Linked DNA regions of Macaca fascicularis. The protein of the gene in region 1 interacts with the protein of each later gene in a pairwise test. Links are inferred from orthologs where the notes say so. Each region holds a gene or a part of one and is shown in the gene's direction. Other genes may lie near its edges.

Region 1 (3,602 bases):
GGGGAGCAGAGTTCAGACCCCGTCGCCTCCGTCCCCTAAAGGGGTGCCGGGGGAGGAAGGGGCATCCCCGGAGAAAGGGGGCGGAGGACGCGGACGCGGGGAGGGCACGGAGGAGGCGGGGCGTCCAGGCCCCCGAACACCGCGGCGCGCCTGCCTTTCCAGAGGGAACTGGGCCCAAGCCTCCCGGGAGCCGGGCCCACTCCCTGCCGGGCTCTGCCATGTGCTCACCGGCGGGAACCGCGCGTTGTACTTCTTCTTCTTGCTCGGCATCTCGGGGCCTCGCTCGCCGCGTCGGGTCCAGCACCGCCGCCCGCAGCCTCCCGGCTCCCGGGCCTGCTCGCTGCCCGCCCGCCTCGGTTCCCCCGGGTCCTGGTGCCGCCCGCTCCGCCCCCGCCGCTTCCCGTGGAGTCCTAGCGCCGCCGGTTAAGACGCCACTCACGGGGCCCTAGTGCCCTCCACTTGGAGCCTCCCGGGCCGTGCGCATCCCTCCCCGGTCTGTACCGCTGCTCCCGCCCGCCCCCAAGACCAGAAGAGCGAACGTTGGCCCCGCCCCCCACGGCCCGCCCCTCCCGGGGTTCCCGCGATGGCCCCGCCCCCCGAGTCAGCACCTCCCCGTCGGCCCCGCCCCTTCCCCTGCCGGCCCCGCCCCACAGCGCGGCCGCTGCGGCCGCTGAGGCTGGCGGCTCCGCCCCGTGGCTGCGCTTGTCTATAAAGTTGTTGTTGAGGTGGCACGGCGCTAAGATGGCGGCGGCGGCGGCGGCCGTGGCGGGGGTGGGGCGCGGCGGCGGTGGCACGGAGCCCCGGCAGGAGCGGAACCGGGCCCGGGGCTGGGCCGGCGTCGAACGCAGCGAAGGCCGGAGGTGACTGCGGGCGGCGGGAGGGGCAGGGCAGGGCCGGGGCGGGAGCACCGCTCGGGCCGTGGGCGTTAATGGCGGCGGGCGCGGCACGGCCGGAGCCTGGCGCTCCTGCAGGCTCTAGCAAGCCCAGGTTCGACTCCGGGCACCGCCCCATTGGCTTCGGAAAGGCCTGTGCCCTCTCTGGACCTCAGTGTCCTCGTCTTTAAGTGGGCCCGTTAACGCCTTCTCGGGAGGCCTGGCCCTACAGAGCCGGCCTTGGGAGCTGCGCGAACGTGCGCTTCTTTGCCTTCCTCTATTAAATGCCAGCGCTCCGGATACCTGCCAGGAAAAGGGGGCCTTGTCGGGGCCGGGAGGTGTAGCTGGGGCCGGTTGCTCCCACGCCTGGATTCACCCTTTGGCCCTGCCACGCACTACAGGTGACCTTGGGCAAGTCCTTTCTCTCTCAGCCTCAGTTTCCTTGTCTGTAAGTCAAGGAGAATAGTAATAACTGCAGCAACCCTTCTGGAGCGCTCACTCCTCAGGCATCTAATTTTCACAGCGGATCTACAGGACAGGAACAGTTGTTATCCCATTGTAAAGATGAGGCAACTGAGGCGCATCGACAATAACTCTTACCCAAGGCCACAGTTTAATCCAGTGCCTGGCACCTGTAGTTATTGTCTCAGACCCTGCCCTGACTCGGTTCCCTCACAGCAGGATGGAACCAGGTGAGGAGCTGGAAGAGGAGGACTCTCCAGGTGGCCGTGAGGATGGCTTCACTGCTGAGCACCTGGCTGCAGAGGCTATGGCAGCTGACATGGACCCCTGGCTAGTGTTTGATGCCCACACGACACCTGCCACTGAGCTGGATGCCTGGCTGGCCAAGTACCCACCATCCCAAGTTACCCGCTATGGGGACCCCGGTTCACCCAACTCAGAGCCTGTGGGCTGGATTGCAGTGTATGGGCAGGGCTACAGCCCCAACTCCGGGGATGTGCAGGGCCTGCAGGCAGCCTGGGAAGCTCTGCAGACCAGTGGGCGGCCCATCACACCGGGCACCCTGCGCCAGCTCGCCATCACCCACCACGTGCTCTCAGGCAAGTGGCTTATGCATCTGGCACCAGGCTTTAAGCTGGACCATGCCTGGGCTGGCATTGCCCGGGCCGTGGTTGAAGGCCGGCTTCAGGTGGCCAAGGTGAGCCCACGGGCCAAGGAGGGTGGGCGCCAGGTCATCTGTGTTTACACGGACGACTTCACGGACCGCTTGGGTGTACTGGAGGCGGATTCAGCCATCCGTGCAGCAGGTATTAAGTGCCTGCTCACCTACAAGCCTGATGTCTACACCTACCTGGGCATCTACCGGGCCAACCGCTGGCACCTCTGCCCCACTCTCTATGAGAGTCGTTTCCAGCTTGGGGGCAGTGCCCGTGGCTCCCGAGTGCTTGACCGTGCCAACAACGTGGAACTGACCTAGAGGGGCCAAACTGGGGAGACTGCCCTCTCCCCACTCCATGCTGGGGATGGATTTTCTGTCTTCCTCCTTGTCCCATGAAGGACAAGCCCCCCAACTCTGGGGACTACTAGGTCACTTGGGAACTACCTGCATCTTCAGTCCCCTTGAACTTCTGCCCTCTGTTCAGGGCTGATGCAAGCCCCACAGGCTGGGGGAATCCGGTTGTCTGAGGGATGAGCCTTCAGCCTCCCTTTGTAATGCTGCTCCTCTCCACTGCCCAGGACCGTGGGTTGGGTGCAGACACCTAAGAGGAGAGACTTCCTTGGGACGCTCATCCCCTGCTATACCTCCCCTTCCTCCTGCATCTCCCCTTCTTTCCTTCCCCCTCACAAGGGAGAAAACTTAGTACTTCCAGCCCCTCTCCTTGGAGTCTTCATGGTCTAGGGGTAGGGGCCCCACTGGCCTGAGCATGCCATTTTGGGGGGAGGGTGGTTGTGCCTACTTGTCCTTTGGCAGAGGGGATGCCAGGACCATGGACATGAGGCCTGCGCATCCCTGCCAGCTCACACAGCCTGTCCCACCATCCCCCCTTCCTTGGCTACTTTGACATGTGCCTGCTCCTGGCATTTCAATAAAACCCGGCTTGGGTCTGTGTCTTGAGTGGTTTAAATACTGTCTTGGTGGTTACCTGCTTTGGTTGCTAGGGAGAGGCAGGGCCAGGAGAGACTACCCCGTTGACCCGGCCAGGCCCCCGTAGCTGCCCCTAGCAATAAGTTGTGCCTCACTGCTGAGGCTAGGCCCTGTCTCTAAGAACCTCTGCAAAACCAGCCCCACTTCCCCTCCATCCCAAATCAGTTTCTCAGAGATTTCCCATAATTCCAGGGGTTGATCCCTCCAGGAACGTCTAAGGGGCCACTGCTAGCCCTCAAGGTACATTTGTGCATATTAGAGGAAGGTACCAAGCCCAGGCAGTCCTAGGCCAGGGTACGTGGTTTGGGGAGCAGAGGATGGGATGGGCTGGATTTCGGCACCCTAGGCTGGACATCCTTGTGCAGTGAACAACCTGCGCAACCCTAGGTAGTCTCTCTGGAAGCCCCGCCATTCATACTGTCCTCTTCTACCATCCTGACCTTCATAGGGCCCACTGGACAGTTTGCAAAGCGCTTTCATATGTATTAAATTTAAATCTCACAACCTCTTTAGGAGATGTTGGCCCCATTCTGCGGTCAAGGTAATTGAAGCCAAGAAGGGAAAGGAGTTTTCTCAGTGTCATGCGATGAGGTGGGCAGAGCTAGGACTTGCATCCCAGTCCC
Region 2 (3,749 bases), on another chromosome or scaffold:
CCACAGCAGTCCAACCTGGGCGACAGAGCTAGACCCTGTCTCAACAACGAACAAATAAATAAATAATAAAAAGTAATGGTTAAGCGTAAGATACCTAGGTACACATTACAAGACAATTCTATGAGGTTCTTTTAAAGTGTGCCTAGATAATTAAGGTTTGTCAACATTGTGGCACCCACAATTACCACCATCTCACTCACAAACCTGGAAATTTACCCGTGTAATTAATTCCCACTGCACAACCATGTTTTGTTATTGCCAGATGATGGAATCCACATCAGTATCCGATTCTTTTTCCAAGGCAACGACTTTCCAAGGCAAAAAACCGAGATGTGCAGTCTCTCTTGCTAAGCCATCGACCACCTATACTCTCTCCTCTCAAAACCCCCTAATACCCAGTCAGCTAGTAAGCCCTGAAAGGCAGGATTCGAGTCTGCATCCCACCGCCTCGCACCCCCTTCCGAGGCATCCTCATCGTGTGGCCAGCTCCTGCCTGGAGAAGGAGGCGGCCTTTACTTGGGTGTCATCCGGGGACCACTTGCGGGTCCAAGCGTGACAGGCCTCCGCGGTCCCTGCCAGGTCTGGAGGCCGAGAGGCAGGGTTCCAGGCGAACGGGAGAGGGAGTTCCCCGCCGGCTCTCCCGGAAGGCCAGCGCGCACGGGCGGGGCGCGGCGGGGATAGGAGGCAGCCGCGGGTGCAGCCTCAGGGCCAGCACATAATGGGCAGCGGCGGCGGGGCAGGCGTCCAGCTGGGGCGCCGCCGCACCACGTGGGCCGCAGAGCGCACGGCGCAAGCAGCTGCCCGTGGGCCCAGGGCCTGGCGCGGCGCGGCAAGCGTCCGTGCGTGCGCGCGCGCGCGCGCGTGCATGCGTCCTAGGGATTTGCGATCAGGCGGCGCGGCGGACAGCCCCGGCGGCGGGGCGGGGGGAGTTATATTGCGGGGTCCTTCCTCGCTCACCCTGGTTCCTCTCGGAGCGGAGACGGCAAATGGCGGACTTCGATACCTACGACGATCGGGCCTACAGCAGCTTCGGCGGCGGCAGAGGGTGAGGCGAACGTGCGCGGGCCCCGGCGGGGGCTGCGGGACCGGCGGAGTCGGGGCCGTCAAGGTGGCGGTAGTCCTGCGCTCAGCCGGGGCGGCGGGAGGCGGGGGCCTGCCCGGGGGCCCGCGGAGGCCTAGGAGCGGTGCCTGGAGGGCCGGGGCCTGGAAATGGCGCGCTCGGAGACGGGGCGGCGGCGGCTGGGTGCTCGGGGTCTTGCGCGCGGGGCGGATCCCTTCCACTGCTTCCCGCCAACGACAACGTGTCGGTTTTTGCCCTGCCTCGGCCGCGGCGGCTCCCAGTGCCCGGAGACTAGCGCCGCTTCAAGCCCCATCCCCCCTACGGCAGGACCGGCGCGGGGCTGAGCTGCGGCGCCGGGGTGCGGGCCACACGGCCTGTCCCGCTCCGGTCCTGGCCCCTTTCGCGGCCCTCCGTTGTCTGCCCGCTCTGCAGGCCCCTGGCCCCTTCGCCATGAGGCCCGCCGACTGGGGAAGGTCGGAAGCCAAGAGGAGCAATTCCCTTCCCCTTACGTGTGAGGCAGGGATTTGGCGGCTCTGGCCCGTGGATGGTACGACTCCCTGCGGGCGGGGGGAGACCATGGAAACAAATCCATCGTAGCTTCTTTGTGTTAATCTGTCTTGGGTCACAGTGCCTTGACAGGTGCTACGTGCTCTTTGGCACAATTTTATTTCTCCCTGGTTTCTCGCTCTGACCTGGAGAAGAAACCGCATTTAGTCTCGTCCTGATCGTTGTCAAATGCGGACAACTATGTATATTTGAAACACCTTGCTTAAAAGAAACATCTTTGAATAGACAGCTCTTGGTGTTTAATTCCAGGAATCTGCACTTCAAGAAAAAAATACAAGTTGCCTCGTTAGAATATAGGCTATGAACATCTTGCTATTTGTCAAGGACACACTTGGGCTTTGTGTTTTCTTGCAGAAAGGATTACTTTCCCAGGATAACACCACAATAGTACACACTGAGGTGTTCGGTCTCTTGGGGTGCAGTCCAGAAGTATCTTTGTTTGTTGAAGAATGGTCGCTTTTAATACCTTGGTTTGGGAACGGCTCAAACAAAAGCTTGTTTCAGTGCAGGAGTGTAGCTAATATTCATGATACTGTAATGTGGAAGTGTGTTGGGGTAGGTGGAGCTATTGTCATTCCAAAGAACATTTTATTTGCTAATAAAAAAAGAAATAAATGTTGGATGACATGAAATTATCGCCTTTGGGGTAGGTTTCTAGACATCAAATTTGTTCTCAAGTCACTTCGAAATTTAATAACTAGGGTTTTTTTTTTTTTTCTAGTTCCAAAAAACGTTCACAACAGTACCCAGAAACATTCTTAAACAGTGCGATCAATTTAAATTTTAGTTGCATTGGAACTACAATAAGGTGGCCTTGTTAAACTGAGTGTGGGGATTTTAAAAAAAATTATTCCTTCAGACACATTTGCCAGCTCTTCTGGTGTCAAATTTTAACATTTGGGGAGTACCTGGAACAATCAAAAGTAAATTTCTGTTAAGATGCTATTAATTTCAAATATCCACAGGCAAATGAAAATATTAGTCATTTGTCCCAGGTATACTCCAAAAACTGATAGGAGAGTCTTCTAGGTAGCATCATTTAAACTTCCTAATAGAAAGTCTCTTTACTGTTAAGCATCTTCTATGTCTGACTACTTGGAATTTTCTATTTGGCTTCATATTCATGTAAAAGTACGTAAAATATTGCTACTTTTAAAAGTAGTTTTAAAAACCTGTTGGTGAATTTATGTATTCATTTATACATATGTTTTTTGTGGTTTTTTGTTGTTGTTGTTGTTTTCTTTTTGAAGATGGAGTTTCGCTCTTGTTGCCCAAACTGGAGTGCAATGGTGCGATCTTGGATCACTGCAACCTCTGCCTCCTGAGTTCAAGCGATTCTCCTGCCTCAGCCTCCCAAAGTGCTGGGATTACCGGCGTGAGCCACCTCGCCCGGCCTCAGCTATTATAATTTTGTCCACATGAACAGATGTCACTGCTTTACAGTGCTTAAGCATCATAGAAGATTGCCACCTATGGAAAGCAATTTTAATACTGCTTTGTTTGGTACTTGTGTAGGCACCTTCTCCCTTGTCTAAAATGCCTCAGACAGGCTAATATATCTCACCCCTAAATCACTTGGGTCACAGGTGAAAGAAATGGTAGGCCTGAAATCTAAAAACAGTTACAATCTTAAAACATAGTTTGGTAATTATACATCCTTGTGAGTTTATTTTGTAGTTGTGTTTAATAACCAGTGCAGTTGTCAGGAAACAGTATTGAACCACTGCTTTTTTCCACCGAGCCTATAAAGGCATGTCCCCAGCAGCCAGGGAGAGAATCAGGGATTGCATTGTTCAGCAAGCAAATCAAAACAGAATTCCAAATGATCAAGAGTTGATTGTACCAGATCTTGAATGGACTTTGTTTTGCAGTTTGCTAGATTATCTTTGTGAGGTTCCAGTTTCTCATTTGCCATTGGCAGTAAAGTGCAGAGTAATACTGATTTTACATTTCTAATTGCAACAAAGCTATGGGTACTTAGTGGAAAACCACCAATCCTGAGAATTAGGGTGGAACTTGGAGGTGGCAAGAATTGAGGTGGCTGAAATGGTGCCATCTAAAAACTGACAAAACTCCAAATTTATTCTTTATCAAGATTCAGTTAGGGAGTTAAAAATTCTTT
Region 3 (3,749 bases), on another chromosome or scaffold:
CAAAAGTGTTGTAATTACAATAATTAACTTTTTGTTCTATATACTTGATGCTGGTTGCTCATTCTAGCAATAAGATGTTAGTTAATGTGTCTATTTCTGATAATTTATGATCCATTTAAACATTTATTGCAATGTAATTTTTTATCTTAAAAACTCATACTTTATTAAATAGGCACTATGTTTTAAAATAGCACTCTTTCTTGCCTAAGTGCAAATAAAAACATAAATATATCTTACAAACATTTTGACTGTATTTCAGATATTATTCTGATGTATATTAGCCTTTTAAAATACTCTTCAGAATATAGGGGTCAGTCCCAACTTTGCATAGTATTGCTTAAAGAAAAATACAGTAATCAACTTGTTTAGAGCCAACTTTGGAGACGTTTTTGTGCTTTTCAAAACTGTGGCGATTTGAGGTTATCTTAATTAAGAGTACTTATTTTCCCTACAATTTCCTGATTTATATTTTACCCTCTTCCACTCCATAGATGACTACTTTTCAGCACATTTTATATTCAGGAAGAATGGCACTGCGCAAAGCACAGTACTGAGGAAGGAAATAACTGGTGCATTGTACTGATGCATTATATAAATGATTTATAGCTGGGAAGTTTTTTAAAAATCATAAACACAGATAAATCGAAATATGAATGAGTATGAGGAAATGCTGAGGTGTAGCAATCCTGGTACCTACAAAGCACTATTTTTTTTTTTCCCTTGGTAGTGGAATCTAATTAAAAAATCTGACTAATCACATACATGATTATTTAACGTTTGAGTAACTTGTATAAACAAAATACCTTAAGATATTTTAGTCATTCATTCAATAGGTGTTTAATGAATATCTGTATACAAGGCACTGATGAGTAAAACACAATTTCTGCCTTCAAGTAGCTTGAAGAAATAAAACAAGTAGCTTTATCTCAAGAAGAAATAAGATGGTAAGTTTAATTTTAATTAAATAAGATGGTAAGTTTAATAAGATGGTAAGATGTAATTTTCCCTAAATTACAGTTATTTGGAATAATTACTATAAACAGAATACTATGGTAGTTTAAAGGAGGGGAGATTATTTCCAGCTGGGGGAATGTAGAGCATTACAATATACTCTGTTACTTGGTTGTAATACTCTACATTCCCCCAGCTTGTTAATTTTTACCAATTAAGAGCTTCTGCAATAAGAAAAATAAATTCCAAGGATTTTAAATACTCAATATTATATGATAACCAATATTTATATAATTTTTACTATTTAAAAATATTTTATTTAATCTTTTCAACAACTACTTTTCTGTTCTTTTAATAGACATTTTAATAAACAATCTAAAGAAGTGTCTTGTAACCAATGAAGTTTTGTTTTGTTTTTGGTTTTGGTTTTGGTTTTTTTGAGATGGAGTCTCGCTCTGTCACCCAGGCTAGAGTACAATCGTGCAATCTTGGCTCACTGCAGCCTCTGCCTCTTGGATTCAAGCAATTCTACTGCCTCAGTCTCCTAAGTAGCTGGGATTACATGTGCCTGCCACCACATCCAGCTAATTTTTTGTATTTTTAGTAGAGATGGTGTTTCACCACGTTGACCAGGCTGGTCTGGAACTCCCGACCTCAAGTGATCCACCCACCTTGGCCTCCCAAAGTGCTGGGTTTACAGGTATGAGCCACCATGCCCAGCCTCAGTTAAATACTTGAATGCTCACTATGAACCTAGAATTTTAATTCATACTCTTCCCCTCCCAAAGTTAAACACTTATTAACGATGTCATTTTATTTTATTTTATTATTATTATTTTTTGTTGTTGAGATGGAGTCTCGCTCTGTTGCCCAGGCTGGAGTGCAGTGGCCGGATCTCAGGTCACTGCAAGCTCCGCCTCCCGGGTTTACGCCATTCTCCTGCCTCAGCCTCCCAAGTAGCTGGGACTACAGGCGCCCACCACCTCGCCCGGCTAGTTTTTTGTATTTTTTTTAGTAGAGACGGGGTTTCACTGTGTTAGCCAGGATGGTCTCGATCTCCTGACCTCGTGATCCGCCTGTCTCGGCCTCCCAAAGTGCTGGGATTACAGGCTTGAGCCACCGTGCCGGCCAACGATGTCATTTTATATCAGTTTCCCACCAAGACACCTTTAAATAAGTAGTGGGCGGGGATTTATTTGGCTTTTACTTCAGCCACATAAATTATTTAAAATGTCACTTAAAAAATAATGTTGATTTTAACAGTTTTTAAGAGGAAAATATACTCTTTCTTAAATACTCCTACAAGGATATATAAGGGTATGAAATATTTGAAATTGCGGCCAGGCGCAGTGGCTCACATCTGTAATCCCAGCACTTTGGGAGGCCGAAGTGGGCGGATTACGAGGTCAGGAGATCGAGACCACGGTGAAACCCTGTCTCTACTAAAAATACAAAAAACTAGCCAGGTATAGCTGGCGTGGTGGCGGGCGCCTGTAGTCCCAGCTACTCGGGAGGCTGAGGCAGGAGAATGGCGTGAACATGGGAGGTGGAGCTTGCAGTGAGGCGATATCACGCCACTGCACTCCAGCCTGGATGACAGAGCGAGACTAAGTCTCAAAAAAAAAAAAAAAAAAAAATTTGAAATTGCAGTATGAATTTGAAATATTTGAAATATGCAAGGATAAAATTGTGAAATACTCATCTGCATATCTTATGTTTTTGAGTAAAACTGAAATAAGGATTATGTATGGGTTAAAGTCAGTTTTCTCTGACTCTTCATCTTTTGAATAAACAAATAGGTAGTAGATTCAAGCACAGAGAGTTTGCACCATACAGAATAAAATTGAAAGTAATGGTAATACTTTATTCAGTAACCCAAAGTAGAAGCCATGGAACCATCAATGATTCTTTAATTTCTGAGCCATCAGTGATTTTTTAATTTCTCTTAACCCTAATGTTCAGGCACCAGGTGCTGTCAATTTTATCTTTTAAATAATCTTTCATTCCTTTTATCACTGCCATATATCAGACATACTGTCATCATTGCCCACATTATTATAGTGGTCTCTAAACTGATCACGTTGCTTTCTTTTTTCTGTCTGCTGTGACCAAAAATTTTTTTTTTTTTTTGAGACAGAGTCTCGCTCTGTTGCCCAGGCTGGAGTGCAGTGGCCGATCTCGGCTGACTGCAACCTCTGCCTCCCGGGTTCACGCCATTCTCCTGCCTCAGCCTCCTGAGTAGCTGGGACTACAGGCGTCCACCACCACGCCCGGCTAATTTTTTTTATATGTTTAGTAGAGACGGGGTTTCACCGTGTTAGCCAGGATGGTCTCGATCTCCTGACCTCGTGATCTACCCGCCTCGGCCTCCCAAAGTGCTGGGATTACAGGCGTGAGCCACTGTGCCCCGCTTAAAATTTTTACTCTAAAACGTAAATATGATCATGTGATTTGCCTGCATCAAATTATTCATTGATTTCATCACACATAAAATGAAATCCACATTGCCAAGTGTGCTCTGACTTTTAGTTCTCTTTCTAAGAGAGGAAGTGTATTCCACTTACAAACATTGGTGATTCTTAAATAAACCCTCCTCTGTGGACACATTGTTCCCCTTTCCCTAGAATACCTAACTTTTTCCTCTTTATTTCCCCCACTCTTTTGCTTCATTAACCGCTCTTTTTCCACTGACACAGTTGGGCGTTCCTGACTCTTCCGCTCTTATTTCCACAAAATTTTGTTAGTGCTTTCCTTCCTTCTGTAGTCTAATAATATGTGTTGTTCGCCTTGCTCTTCTG

Evidence for each region.
Region 2: the proteins of C14H11orf68 (region 1) and EIF4H interact in binary tests that used the Homo sapiens proteins (3 or more experiments, as listed by UniProt). The two-hybrid records come from large-scale screens. The link is inferred for Macaca fascicularis from reciprocal best matches to the Homo sapiens genes C11orf68 and EIF4H.
Region 3: the proteins of C14H11orf68 (region 1) and REL interact in binary tests that used the Homo sapiens proteins (3 or more experiments, as listed by UniProt). The two-hybrid records come from large-scale screens. The link is inferred for Macaca fascicularis from reciprocal best matches to the Homo sapiens genes C11orf68 and REL.

Annotation. Positions count from the first base shown.
Region 1 is NC_088388.1:8,480,489-8,484,090, forward strand, and holds C14H11orf68 (UPF0696 protein C11orf68 homolog), read left to right. Parts: upstream 1-716; 5' UTR 717-741; coding exon 742-860; intron 861-1,550; coding exon 1,551-2,310; 3' UTR 2,311-2,959; downstream 2,960-3,602. Other genes in the region: DRAP1 (dr1-associated corepressor), read right to left, coding at 229-270.
Region 2 is NC_088377.1:53,056,341-53,060,089, forward strand, and holds the start of EIF4H (eukaryotic translation initiation factor 4H), read left to right. Parts: upstream 1-960; 5' UTR 961-986; coding exon 987-1,045; intron 1,046-3,749. UniProt on the Homo sapiens protein: Stimulates the RNA helicase activity of EIF4A in the translation initiation complex. Binds weakly mRNA.
Region 3 is NC_088387.1:61,083,216-61,086,964, reverse strand, and holds the start of REL (proto-oncogene c-Rel), read left to right. Parts: upstream 1-1,466; 5' UTR 1,467-1,560; coding exon 1,561-1,651; intron 1,652-3,749. UniProt on the Homo sapiens protein: Proto-oncogene that may play a role in differentiation and lymphopoiesis.